3 linked regions of the Cricetulus griseus genome follow. The protein of the gene in region 2 interacts with the protein of the main gene of each other region in a pairwise test. Links are inferred from orthologs where the notes say so. Each region holds a gene or a part of one and is shown on either strand. Other genes may lie near its edges.

Region 1 (3,974 bases), on a different chromosome or scaffold from region 2:
AAAGTGAAGATGATGGGGGTTGCCTCACCTATACTCAAATCAACAATAATCAACCAACCACAGACATAAAACTCATAATAGGGGCAGGGGGACCACAGGGGTTTGCTTTTGTGTTGTGATGTACGTATGCATGTAGGAGAGGGCACGGTGCGTGTGTGAAGAACGTGGCATTATACGTGTTGTCTGTAGGCTATGTGTATGCATGTGTGGTGCTGTGAAGGTATGTGAGTATGTTATAGCAAGGTGTGTGTGCTGTGTGTGATGTAATATAGGTGAGTGAGTTCAGGTGAGTTAGGGTATATTGTGTTATGTGTTTACACCAACTTCAGAGTTCCTAAGCCAGTAGCTGCTCTTTTTTAAATATTTTATTTATTTATTATGTATACAGTGTTCTAGAGGGCACCAGATCTTATAGATAGTTGTGAGCCACCATGTGGTTGCTGGGAATTGTGAACTCAGGACCACTGGAAGAGCAGCCAGTGCTCTTAACCTCTGAGCCATCTCTCCAGCTCCTAGGTGCTCTTTATATAAGCAAGGATACTACTTAGAGAAAAGTTCATTCATGAAATTACTGATAACAAAAATTAGTTACAGTCGGGCTGGAGAGATGGCTCAGTGGTTAAGGGCACTGGCTGCTCTTGAAGAGGGCCTGGTTCCTTTTCCAGAACCCACATGACCACTCACAAGCATTTGTAACTCCAATTCCAGGGGCTCTGATGCCTTCCTCTAGAGTCCACAAGCTCCTTCGTATATATGGTTCCACAAGCATACACACAGACATAAAATAAATGAAAATTTAAATTACAGTCCAAATCATCAGAACTAAAGAAACAAGAGTGCATTTCACAGGAAATAATGGATTTTTCCATTGGACAGTGGGCACAGCTTTGTGGCAGGTCTTCCTGTAAATTCTAAATCACCTAGAACAGGGCCTGACAGCTGCTCTGTAATGGACCAGGTAGTTAGTATCTGCCAGGGGCTTTGGGTCATGCTAAGTGCTCAGGGATTGGTTGGTTTTCTGCTCAGGGGCAGGACAGATCTGGTTTTGGTTTCAGGGCCCAAGTGTGTTTCTTTCACTGGTCCTTTTTAGCCTTTTGGCTCTAATTTTAGGGCCAGGATGTATTTCTTTCACTGGCTCTGATTATAGGGACAAAGCACGTTTCTTTGGCACTGGTTTCAGGGTCAGGGTGTGTTTCTTTGGTTCTAGTTGCCAGGCCAAAGTGTGTTTCTTTTTGGCTCTGCTCAGGCTGTGTTTCATCAGCTGGCCCCTTTTCCCTCATATGTTTTCTTTATAAGACTTGCCTTGGTCAGGTGTCTCTTCACAACAATAAAACAGTGACTAAGACAATGGGCTTATATTGGTCTATTTCTGAAGCTAAGGAGTAAATTCCTGCCTGGTGCTCATGGAAGAGTTTCATAAATAATTCCAGGATATAGGTGGAAGGACAGTGACCTGTGAGGTCTGATCTGTGGGGACATCAATAATCTCATTCTTCATGACAAGCCCCAGGCCTGTGTCATCCTGAATCCCTTGGAGCTGCTGAGTCTCCTTCACCTGCTATCTTCATGGAGGACTGGCCCTGTACCCAGACAGGAGCCCTGGAGAATACATTCTGTGCCTGTTTTCTGTGGCTCTCCCAGGGCCGCAGATGCCAGAGCAGTGGTTGAAACCTACTCTGATCCTGGTTCTAAATAAAGACCTTTGGAAACTAGATCCCAGTTTATCCTGAAAGGTCTGAATGGTTTATTCGGCTAACTTGTGATTCCTTTTCTCTACCCAACATAGCAAGAATAAAACATGGCTGGGTGGTGGTGGTGTATGCCTTTAAACCCAGGACCCAGAAACCAGAAGCAAGCAGATCTTCGAGTTAGAGGCCAGCCTGATCTACAGAGTGATTTTCATAACAGCCAAGGCTACATAGAGAAACCATGTCTCGAAAAACCAAAACCAAACAAAGCAATGAAAGAATAAAACGTGAAATTAAATGAAAAAAATCAGGAAGTTTTCACTGATGTATGCTAAAATTAGTCACTGAAAACACGGCTAGAAGCAGGACTTTACACAAGCAAGCACCTCCCCCGAAAGGTATTTATTATTTATAACGGGAAAATAGTAACCTAACTTTGCTTATTTAGTTACTTTTTTTGAGACAGGGTCTCTACTTAGCCATGGGTGTCCTGGAACTATGCAGACCAGACTGGCCTCGAACTCAGAGATCTGCCTGCCTCTGCCTCCCAAATGCTGGGATTAAAGGCGTGCCCAGAAGAAAACAGTAACTTTATGATAGCCATTTGATAGACACCACTGTCTCCTGGGAGGCACGAGGGCAGAATGCTAAATGTTAGTAACTCAATCTTATGTTAAATATCGGGCCAGCCGAGGATGAGATGCAGTCTACAAAATAACGGACTTATGAAGTCAGCGGGGCAGCGCGGCGCTGATCCAGGCTGCAGAGCAGGGGGAACACTGCGGCTAACGTGCTGATTCGGGGCACCCTGCACCCAGTGCCGCTGCCGGCCTCGCGATGGTCGCCCGAGGCTACTACTTCCTGAGGGAGGCGTCTGGGGAGCCTGGGTCAAAGCCCCACGGGAGCCGGAACCTGAAGCGATGGCCATGCCACTCACCCCGTGCTCCATCGGCAGGGCCCAGCGAAATCCTCGTCGCCTCCCGGCGCGCGACCAGGCACCGCGCCAGCCCGCTCTGGGGCCGCCGGGATTCCGAGCGCCAGCACTAGCTCGCCCGCTCGCCCGCCCTCCGGTCGCACCTCTAGCGCGGGCCACGTTACCATAGCGACTGGAGTCCGCGGCCTGGGTCCGGGTGCACTGTGAGCATCGCTCCGATCCCTCCGTGCAGAAACAGGAACCCCAACACAGAGTTCCGACCTCCGCGGGGTCCACACTGGCATTGAATAGGGTTTGCTGACCTGTGGGACTCCCTGAGTAGTGCAAAAGCCCGCACCTGTGGCGCTCTGTGTCCTCCCCCCAGGTGGCCTGAGGGTCCCCAGGGTGCCCATCTTGTAGCCCCAAAGGGCTAATTTCATCTGCGAGGAGGCGCCGGCAGGCGGACGGGCTGGGAGCTCAGGTGGAGAGCCTGCGAGTCGGGCGTGGGGAGTTGCTCCGTGGACGCAGATCTTTCCTGCATTGCGTTAGTGTAGCCTGCACTTGGGACTATGGCAAGGGTGCAGTGGACTGCACATGGCAAGGTTGGAGGGAGGTTGCACCGGGGGCCGATCACCAGGCGGGGAGGGGGGGCGCTAAGTGAAGGGATCGGTCGTACTTCGGAGCTCTGGGTGAGGGGCCACATTGAGTGCTCTCCAGGGTTTGCCCTGATACCTCAGGCATCAAAAGGTGAGCGTTTATGCAGGACCCAGGCTTTCATGGACTAAGTAGAGTTGAATGGAGTGAAGCAGGTTACTGGGAAGGGCCTGCATGAGCCCAACATCAGGCTTGCGTCTGTTGCAGGCGTGCCTCTGTTTCTGTCTTAGCTAGTCATTTAAATCCTCGGGTTATCTGAGGGCCAAGGAGATGGCTCAGTGGATGGGCGAGCCTGATGACCAGAGTTGCTCTCTGGGACCTACATAGTGGAAGAAGAAAACCAATTCCCTTGAGTTTTTCTCTGACTTCCATATGTTGTGGTGTGCATTCGCACCATCACACAAAATAAATAAATAAATAAATAAATAAATAGGTAAACTGTGTGGCCCAGCCCTGGGTCAGAAGCCAGCACTGACTCACACACCTCAGCCAGCACAGTTCCCAAGGGATGGGGAGTGTCTGGGAATCCCGTGCTCCAGGAGGGCAGCATCCAGTGGTCTAGCGTCATTCCTACTTTCCTGCCTTACATTCTGTAGTCTTCCTAACCCCATCAGTCTTTCCCTTGTACTCGCTGTTCCCACTTCCTGATAGCATGCTTGGTGCTTGATCTGAACCCTCCCCCAGACAGCTTGCCTTTGTCCTTCCGCTGCTATCTCCTC
Region 2 (4,529 bases):
AAAAGGGGAGGGAAGTGTCTTCACTGCCCTCTGAGTTTTAATGACTTAAAGAGCTATTGGATGCACATGTTATTCAATGCCAATATAATCAGGCATACATTAAGGTTTCTAGAAAGAGAACTCAAGGAAGGAACATTCCAGGGGGAGGGAACAGTGCTCATGAAGGCCTGGAGGAATGGAATAGCCTTGAGTGCCCAGTGTCTGAGAAGATGAGGCAGGAAGGCTGTGTGGAGCCGATGAGTCAGTGGCTCGCCCTGGAGTGAGTCCTGTGCTGTATGCACCAAGGTTGCAGATGTGGGGACATGGGCCCGGTACTCTTCCTTGTGGGGCCTCCATCTAGATGGGAGACCTTGAGTGCCAGTCTGAGGAGCTTGCTCGTTAGCCTCGGGGCTTTGGAGAGCCACAGGAGGGTTTAGTTTTAAAGCAGGATGAGGTCAAGACTAGATTAGCCCAGAGGAGGCCTGCAGGAGAGAGAGGAGAGGCAGGAATGAGGATGCTGGGGAGGTTTCCAAGTCCCTAGTGCATGCTTCAGCCCCTCCTTTCTGATCCAGCCAGCTTCAGCTCCAGTCTTCCCTAGCTCTGTGACTTACAGACGGGTGGGTGCCCTCTCTCATCCACATTCCTTCTTCCCCTTCCTAGTGATGGGACCAGTGGAGGCAGCCCCCGAGTACCGAGTCATTGTGGATGCCAACAACCTGACCGTGGAGATAGAAAACGAGCTGAGTGAGTGATGGGGACAGCCCTGTTGTGTGCCCTTCCCTCTTTATGACGCAAAGGGAAGAATAGGCATGAACCTGGACCTCTTCTGTTTGCCTTTCTTCGACTACTGCCCTGACCAGGTTTACCTTCTGTAACAGACTGATTTACATGAAGAGAAAGTGTATTCTCCTTCCTGAAAGTCTAAGTAAACAGAGCAGGTCTAGAGTCACCCTTTGACCCCTTCAGCCACCAGACTCTGCCACTGGTTTCATGCTCCAGGGTGATTGCCTCATTTCACGTCCCTACCAGCAAATGGGGAGGGAAGACAGGGCATGGCTGCTTCCTTAAGGCCATGGTCTGGATGTGGAAAATGCCAATTGAGTTCACATCTTGTAGACATTAGAACAGACTTCATGCCTGCACATAGCCCTGGGGACAGCTAGGAAATGTAGATTTCATGCTGGCATCCATGCACCAACCCAAGATTTGGGCTTGTTCACTAGAGAGGCGGAAGTGGGTGTTGGGGATAGCAGCAGAGTCTGCCTCCCCCTCCCTCAGCGGACACCCACCCTCCCTGTCCACTTTAGACATTATCCATAAGTTCATCCGGGATAAGTACTCGAAGAGATTCCCGGAGCTAGAATCCTTGGTTCCCAACGCTCTGGATTACATCCGCACAGTCAAGGTGAGTGGGGAGGAGTCTGGTCCCGGAAGCAGCGTGAAGCCTCGGGATCTAGAAAACGATGGAGAGGCGTGAGCCGGGGCTCAGTGGGAAGGGACAGGTGCCGGACAGGGTGTCTCACACACACCTCTGGCTTCTCTCCTCCCCTTAGCTTGTGGGAGGATCCCCATTGGCCTGGCCCTTGCCTCTGGCTGTCATTGGGTCAGGTGTCCTTTGAACTAGCCTCTGAAGGCTGGCAGAGGCCGCAGCGAGATAAGAGCTGAGATCCTGAGTGGGAACAAATGAGGAGGAAGTGAGAAGAGGCAGGGAGGGGAGCTTGACAGGTCAGAAAGGTCAGAGCACATCACACACAGAAGGTTTGGGCTCCCCTGGGAGCAATGACAGGAGCAGGCAGAGGGGAAAGAGCAGGGGTCCTGCCTCTGTCCAGGAGGTCAGGGTGGGAGCCGAGGAAGTCCGTCTCTAGTCGTGAGCTCCCGCAGGCTTCTTTAGTGCAGCGTGTCGTCCTTGAAGGCCACTTTGCCCAGCTTCCACTTCTGGGTCAGCAGAGCAGGCAGTGCTGATGCTTTCAGCAGTGAAGTTGTCAACCTGTAAGAGGCAAGAGAGGTCTCCAGTATTAGCTTTCCCGGGTTCCTCAAGGGAGCCCTGTGTTCGTGTTGAAGCAAAAGAGCTTCTAGAATCTTCTGGGAGTTACTACGGTCTCTCTCTTTCTCCCCTTCCCACCCCAGGAGCTGGGCAACAGCCTGGACAAGTGCAAGAACAATGAGAACCTCCAGCAAATCCTGACCAATGCTACCATCATGGTCGTCAGTGTCACCGCATCCACCACCCAGGGGTACGTATACCACGCGGTAAGGCGCTGCAAGCCTACCATAGGCCAGCTGGCAGCAGAGACCAGAAAGGGCAGAATGGGGTTGATGGTGAGGGTGGTGCTGGCTGAGAGCTGTGGTCCCTAGGCTGATAGAAGTTGGGGTAGCCCCAGAGTTACACAGACACACACGCATACAGAACCGAGAGGATGGGTGGGGCTGGACACCCGTTAGACAAGCGCGCAGCAGAACTGGGCGCCGGCCCCAACCCTTCCCTGCTTCCCAACTCAGGCAGCAGCTGTCGGATGAGGAGCTGGAGCGCCTGGAGGAGGCCTGTGACATGGCCCTGGAGCTGAATGCTTCCAAGCACCGCATCTACGAGTACGTGGAGTCCCGGATGTCGTTCATCGCACCCAACCTGTCCATCATCATTGGGGCATCCACAGCTGCCAAGATCATGGGTGAGTTCCCAGCTGGGTCCCATGGTCTGGGGTTGTCCTGGGGAAGTGGGGCTTGACATTAGGGGCTCTATTACACTGTCATCTGGAGACTGAAGTCAGCCAGCTTGGCATAGCAAATGATAAAAGTGTAGCAGCCCCTTCTGAGTACAGCTGGCTGAAGAAGGAGCCTCCTCCCGCCAATGGGTCCATTTTGGACCCTGGGGCATCCACAGAGTAGTAAAGTCAGCTCCTGACCCTCGGGCTTTCCTACTGGATAGGGCAGCAATCCTGTCATGTGCTAAGTTCCTCCTCCCAGAAGCTCCGGTAGCCGGAGTCCTTCCTTGCAGGGAATGCTCGCTCACAAAGGGAATGTGGGGAAGCCACCACCTTTGGTCCCTTAGCTGTGGTCTTGAGGACTACAGGCCAGGACACTTACACTCCCGAGGGTGCTGTTTCAGAGTTGACAAGTCTGAGACCAAGGTGCTTTTGGGGTTGGTTTCTCCCTCAGCCTCTGCTTGGCTCGGGCATGCCTTCTGTATTTTCATGCAGCCATGCTGCTGTATCTGCAGCCTCATCTCCCTTCCTCACAAGGATGCCAGTCAGATAGAATCGGGATCCGTATGACCTCATCTTATCTTTGCCCTCTCCTTAAAGATTCTATGACCTGGGCCAGAAAGATGGCCCAGCAGGGAAAAGTCCTTGCCACCCAAGCCTGACAGCCTGAGTGTGATCCTCTTAACCCACACGAAGGTGGAGAGAGCTAGTCCCATAAGTGTCCTCTGCTTTCATGCACACACACATATAAAAATAACCTAAAGCGGTGAATAACTGATACTGAATCCAGAAGGTTAGGATAACTTTTAATAGATAAACGCCAACCAACAGCAAGCCAGAGGGTGCCAAAGCAGCAAGGCGAGAGAGCTCCCATGTGCCTTGTCTGTCCCTTTAAAACCACCCTGACATCACCTTGACCACATCCTGAAGGGCGTGGTTACGGTGTCTCCCTACAGTAACCTGCCCCCATACACACACATACACATAAATGATCCTGTAGCCTTCCAGACGAAGTGGCTTAGACCAGTAATCCCAGTGTTTAGAAGGCTGAGGCAGGAGGATTGCTTTGAATTTGAGGTCCTGAGCTACAGAATACTGTCTCAAACCAGCAAACGAATGAAGGTGCAAAATTGTCTTAGTCACCGTTCTACACTGTGAAGAGACACCATGGTCAAGGTAACTCTTCTGGAAGAAAGCACTTAACCAACCCAACCTGGGGCTTGCTGACACTTTTAGAGGCAAAAGCTATTATCGTGGTCATCATGGCTTGGTAGCAGGGAGCATGGCAGCAGGCAGGTGTGGTGCTGCAGAAGCAGCCGAGGGCTACATCCTGATCTGGAAACATAAAGAGAGATTGGATCTGGCATTCTTTTGAAACCTCGAAGCCCACCCCCCCGTGACACACTTCTTCCAACAAGGCCACGCCTCCTAACCCTTCTCATCTAATTAGAGGTTTCGCTCCCCGGTCACTAAGCATTCAGATACACGAGCCATCGGAGGACATTCTTACTCAAACCACCAAGGTCCACGGGAGCCCCCAGGTGTGGTGTGAACCTGTGTTCTTCCGACCTCGCCTCTTTGTTGTTGCAGGTGTGGCCGGAGGCCTGACCAATCTCTCCAAGATGCCTGCCTGCAACATCATGCTGCTGGGAGCCCAGCGCAAGACGCTGTCGGGCTTCTCCTCTACCTCAGTGCTGCCGCACACCGGCTACATCTACCACAGTGACATCGTGCAGTCTCTGCCCCCAGTGAGCCCTGCCCCTGCCCACTGTCCCCAGCCCCCGTGCCTTCCCTGGTTTGGCTGACAGTAGCACTCAGGAGCCTGGAGGATAGGACAGCGTGGGTTGG
Region 3 (4,287 bases), on a different chromosome or scaffold from region 2:
ATTATGGTTAACATTTTAAAATTCCCATGCCTCATTTTTATTTCATTCTTATATTCTGACTAATTTCAATATTTATTACCATCTTCTCTGATGGTCTTATAATTTTTTATCATGAAAACCTTTGTCAAAAGTATTTTGCGTCTAAAGTATAAAAAGAACCAGATAAGAAAAATGAGACAGTGGCTACAATCAGAGGCACATCCATTTTATGATTACAACAGAGAAATTGTGAATGCTATCACAGGAATTATGAGATTCATGATTTAAAAGTCTTTTAAAAAGAGTCCAATACACAAAGCAGTCATTTTTATTAGATGCTAATCACTGACATCAGTGCAGGGGCAGAGAAATTGTCCACAGAATTCACACACAATCCATACACTTAGAATTTAACATTAAGCTTTCAGTTCTGCATTTATTTCGTTACTTCAAACATATATATTATGGGGTTTATTTGTTTCCAATTTCTTTCAAATACATCTTTGTATACATATACATATACGCATATATATCATTCTTAAATATATATTTCCAAATATAAATAATTTCACATCAAGCCAAACAGGATAAAAACATGTAAACATATGCACCTTATTTTGGTCAAGTAAAACAGAACCACAAAGTAACCACAAGTTAACAATTGCACTTGAAAGAGAAGGGAAGAAACAGACATGTAAACAAACACAGACAGCAGCTGCAAGGCCCTGTAAGGTTGCATTTTTAAGGCTATATAGCAAAAAGCTCATAATTTAAAGACTTTTGTCACCTTGTCACATTTACTCTTAAGGGACTTCACAATGAGAAACTGTAAACACTAGACTAGAAGTGATTGAATCCTGTTGGAAAAAGACACCACAAGTCATCAGCTGACAGAAATATTAATTCCACCAAACAATACTTTTAAGATTTCTTCTTATCTTGTAACACAGAGAAACATCACAATCCTAGTGAGAAGAAATGGGAAATAGAAGCGAAAACAGCAGTACTGCATAAAGATTGCCACAACAGCCTTTGAAAGCAATAGGGTTGTCAGTCAATAGAGGGAAGTAAGCAACAGCAGACAACAGAGCCTTAGCAGACTAGACCACATGCGATAGCATGATACTACAGATTCAAATTGAAATACTCTTCCAGCTGGAACTGAAGCAAGAGCCACCGGTCATCAGAGAAGGAAAAACTGCCTCTCAGGCAAAGCAACTTCTTAAGCAACTGATTGCCCAGGCGAAGCACAGCAAGCTCCTTCTTACGGCTTTTGAACAGCACTTTTCCCTCTCGCAACTGCACAGGCTCCAAAACTTGATGCCAGTATGCGTTTGACGATCCGCCACCACCTGGCCTCGGAGGCTGATCTCTCCAGCCCTCAGGGTATTCATGCTTGTAAAAACAGTACTCTCCAAATGGGCAGTGACCTAGGCCTCCAGCAAAATACCTGCAGGCTTTCTGGCTCATCCCCTCCTTATATTGCTGCACAAGTTTCTCCTTCTCCTCTTCCTCCTCCACCCAGAACTCACTAGGAATGACAAAGCCAGAGGAGACCCTGCACTGTGGGCAGGACTTACTGATCCTGTTCTCAAACTGTGTGGCACTTCTCCACCTGCGGATACACTTAAGACAGTAGGTGTGGTTGCAGCTGAAAAGGATGCCAAAGCGGCGGTCGCTGGGGTCGGCTTTCTCATAGACAACCTCCATGCAGATGCCACACACTTTGTCCATGCTGCGCTGCACAGCAAAGGAGAGCTCCATATCTCTCTCATGGGCTTCAACGCAGGCCCTTCTATGAGCTTCCTGCTGGGCCGCATCCCAAGGGTGCAAGGCCTGCTGCCCACACATGTCGCATATTTCTCCATGGGGGTATGCACAACTCGCCCCGCGGAGGCACTCTCCCCGGGCAGCATAGCGGCAAAGCGGCAGCGGCGCCCCCATGCCCATAGCCATGTGCTCTCTCTCAACTTCCGGGCTCGCCAGGGGAGCCTCGGGACCATGCGGGGGGATCATGCGACCTCGGTAGGGCTGTCCAGGAACAAACTCAATTGCCCCCTCCCAGCCTTCAGCACCCGCTCCTCCCGCAGCAGCTGCGGCTAGGCCTGCATTGTCAATCTCTGCTGCAGAGAAGCCCCTTTCACCAGCTGAGCCAATGCCTGCATTGTCAATCTCAGCTTCGGGGAAGCCCCTTTCAGCAGCCGAGCCAATCAGAGGCAAAGAGCTGGAGGATGCAGTAGGGGGGGCTTCCGCCTCTTCCTGAGTCGGGGGCTCCCTGTGAGTGGCCATCTTGGGCCCTCTATCTGCAGAGGCCCGAGGCTGAGAATCTTGCCCCCCCCTAGCTCTCCGCCGCCCAGAGAGGTCGTGAGAGTAGCGACAGTGATCGCCCTCCTTGCACTGCCCATGCAGATAATACCTGCAGAGGATCTGCTTTGTCCAGCTGCCGCTGTGGTGGTCGGAACCAGACCTGGCTCCGCCCCCTGCGGGCGGAACGGGCCCCAAGCTCGCCGAGCGTCGGTTCTCCGGCCTAGGAGCCACAAGGCGCTGTGCCTGGCCCGATGCCTCTGGCGGAGAGGCCGAAATGAGTACCTCGGAAGCTCCAGAAGCCTCCAACTCGGGAGGGGGGGGGGCGGACACACCCGCCCCCCCCACAGCACCTTCCTCGGCACCTGGGGCTGCACCAGAGGGAGCTGTAGACTCTTCCATTGTTATGCGCCCCTGACAGTGTCCAAAAACTGTCTAATATTATATCTTTTTTGTGCTTGAATCGGCGGAGCTGGAGCTGGACCGATCGGCTGATTCTCGGAGGGAAGTGCACCAATTTTTGTCTTCCCACCAGAAACCCGCCCCCTGTGAACTTTGGTTCCTACCCGCAGAGCGGCAGACGGACACTTCCGGTGGGGACACCAATTGCCGGTGTGAAAGCGGAAGTTACTTCAGCCATGTTTTTCTCCCGCCGCTATCGGCTTAGGGACCCGCGGTCCGCGGTCGGCCGCTCCCAGCGGGATTCGGGAGCCCCTAGCCCGGGTTTCCACACCGCCCCCCCCCCCCCGCAGGATTCGGTTGCACACACCGCATTTCATTATTTTCTCTTTGTGTGAGGAAACGCCATTGTCGCCGCCTGTGCCGCGACTGCTCTTGGAGGTTTTTATGGCGTTTCACTCGCACACGTTACAAATCATTTCCCTGTCTAATCGTCTTTTGTCTATGGGCGGCTGAGTTTTAAAATCCGGGAGTGTCTCTGCCGCGGCTTTTGTGCTCCGGCGGGTGTAGAGACGGCAGCACTTCTCCGGGGCTGTGTGCCCCTGAAGGGTTAATTCAGTGCGCTTGAATCCCAAGGGGACCCTTTGTGTGACTGGAGCTATTTAGCGCCTTTCAGACCCCTGCCTTTGTTACTGTAATCCGCCCAGCAAAGTAGAAGCCTGGGCTTCTGCCAGCATTGATGATGGCTTAATAAAACTCCGAGGGGGACACAGGTTTTCACTTTTCTCCGCTGGCTGGATTCAGGCAGACCCTTTGTTTGCCGCCTTACTTTGCATCCTGCACTAGGCTTTCAAAATACCAGCCTAACATGTCTCATTTCCATTGCCACACTGAGTTATTAGTTTGGGTGGGTTTTTTTTTTTTTTTCCTAATGTTACGCATCTATTCTATTGGGCTAATAATTCTTATATGTATTTCTAAAACGCTAAGTGTACTTCCCCATGGTCACACAATGACTTTTTAAATGTAGTTTATGCTGGCTTTTAATTAATAATCACGCTTTTTTCCCTTCCCCTACGTACGTGATTATTTGAATTCGCAATGTTCAAATATTTAATTTACTCTCCTTCCTTATCTAAAAATAGGATTTTGCTTCCCAAAACAATTTTATTAGAGGGAATCTTATAGCCTAAATTTAAAGAAACTCTTAATGTCTACGATATAGTCATCCAAGTCAAAGTGTAAGTCGCATCTAAACAAAGCCAACAAAACAATACTAAACAAGTAAGAATATTATCAAACAATAGAAGTAAGAAAACCAGGGAAATGAAGAAAAATAAATATGAAATAGGGAGAATAGAATGACCAAAATGATTAATGTGTAACTTATTAAGAAAACTAAAAAGGCACAGATCACCAATACCACATTTTTAAAAGAGCTGACACTAATAAGACTTAAAGCCATGAAATATTTTTAGTACCAACAGTATATAGCAAAACTTAGAATTATCAGATGGCATTAGATAAAATATTTGCACATGAAACTTGCAACTTTTCATTAAATGGTTACTAATGGAAACATCCATTAGTAAAAATACCAGAAAA

What was found.
Region 1: the proteins of Prpf31 (region 2) and Ccdc57 interact in binary tests that used the Homo sapiens proteins (3 or more experiments, as listed by UniProt). The two-hybrid records come from large-scale screens. The link is inferred for Cricetulus griseus from reciprocal best matches to the Homo sapiens genes PRPF31 and CCDC57.
Region 3: the proteins of Prpf31 (region 2) and Mkrn3 interact in binary tests that used the Homo sapiens proteins (3 or more experiments, as listed by UniProt). The two-hybrid records come from large-scale screens. The link is inferred for Cricetulus griseus from reciprocal best matches to the Homo sapiens genes PRPF31 and MKRN3.

Annotation. Positions count from the first base shown.
Region 1 is NC_048600.1:133,406,168-133,410,141, forward strand, and holds the start of Ccdc57 (coiled-coil domain-containing protein 57), read right to left. Parts: upstream 2,801-3,974; 5' UTR 2,626-2,800; intron 1-2,625. UniProt on the Homo sapiens protein: Pleiotropic regulator of centriole duplication, mitosis, and ciliogenesis. Critical interface between centrosome and microtubule-mediated cellular processes. Centriole duplication protein required for recruitment of CEP63, CEP152, and PLK4 to the centrosome.
Region 2 is NC_048602.1:21,549,219-21,553,747, forward strand, and holds part of Prpf31 (U4/U6 small nuclear ribonucleoprotein Prp31), read left to right. Parts: intron 1-639; coding exon 640-723; intron 724-1,286; coding exon 1,287-1,384; intron 1,385-2,106; coding exon 2,107-2,213; intron 2,214-2,478; coding exon 2,479-2,648; intron 2,649-4,271; coding exon 4,272-4,429; intron 4,430-4,529. UniProt on the Homo sapiens protein: Involved in pre-mRNA splicing as component of the spliceosome. Required for the assembly of the U4/U5/U6 tri-snRNP complex, one of the building blocks of the spliceosome.
Region 3 is NC_048596.1:135,056,081-135,060,367, reverse strand, and holds Mkrn3 (probable E3 ubiquitin-protein ligase makorin-3), read right to left. Parts: upstream 2,801-4,287; 5' UTR 2,686-2,800; coding exon 1,105-2,685; 3' UTR 185-1,104; downstream 1-184. UniProt on the Homo sapiens protein: E3 ubiquitin ligase catalyzing the covalent attachment of ubiquitin moieties onto substrate proteins.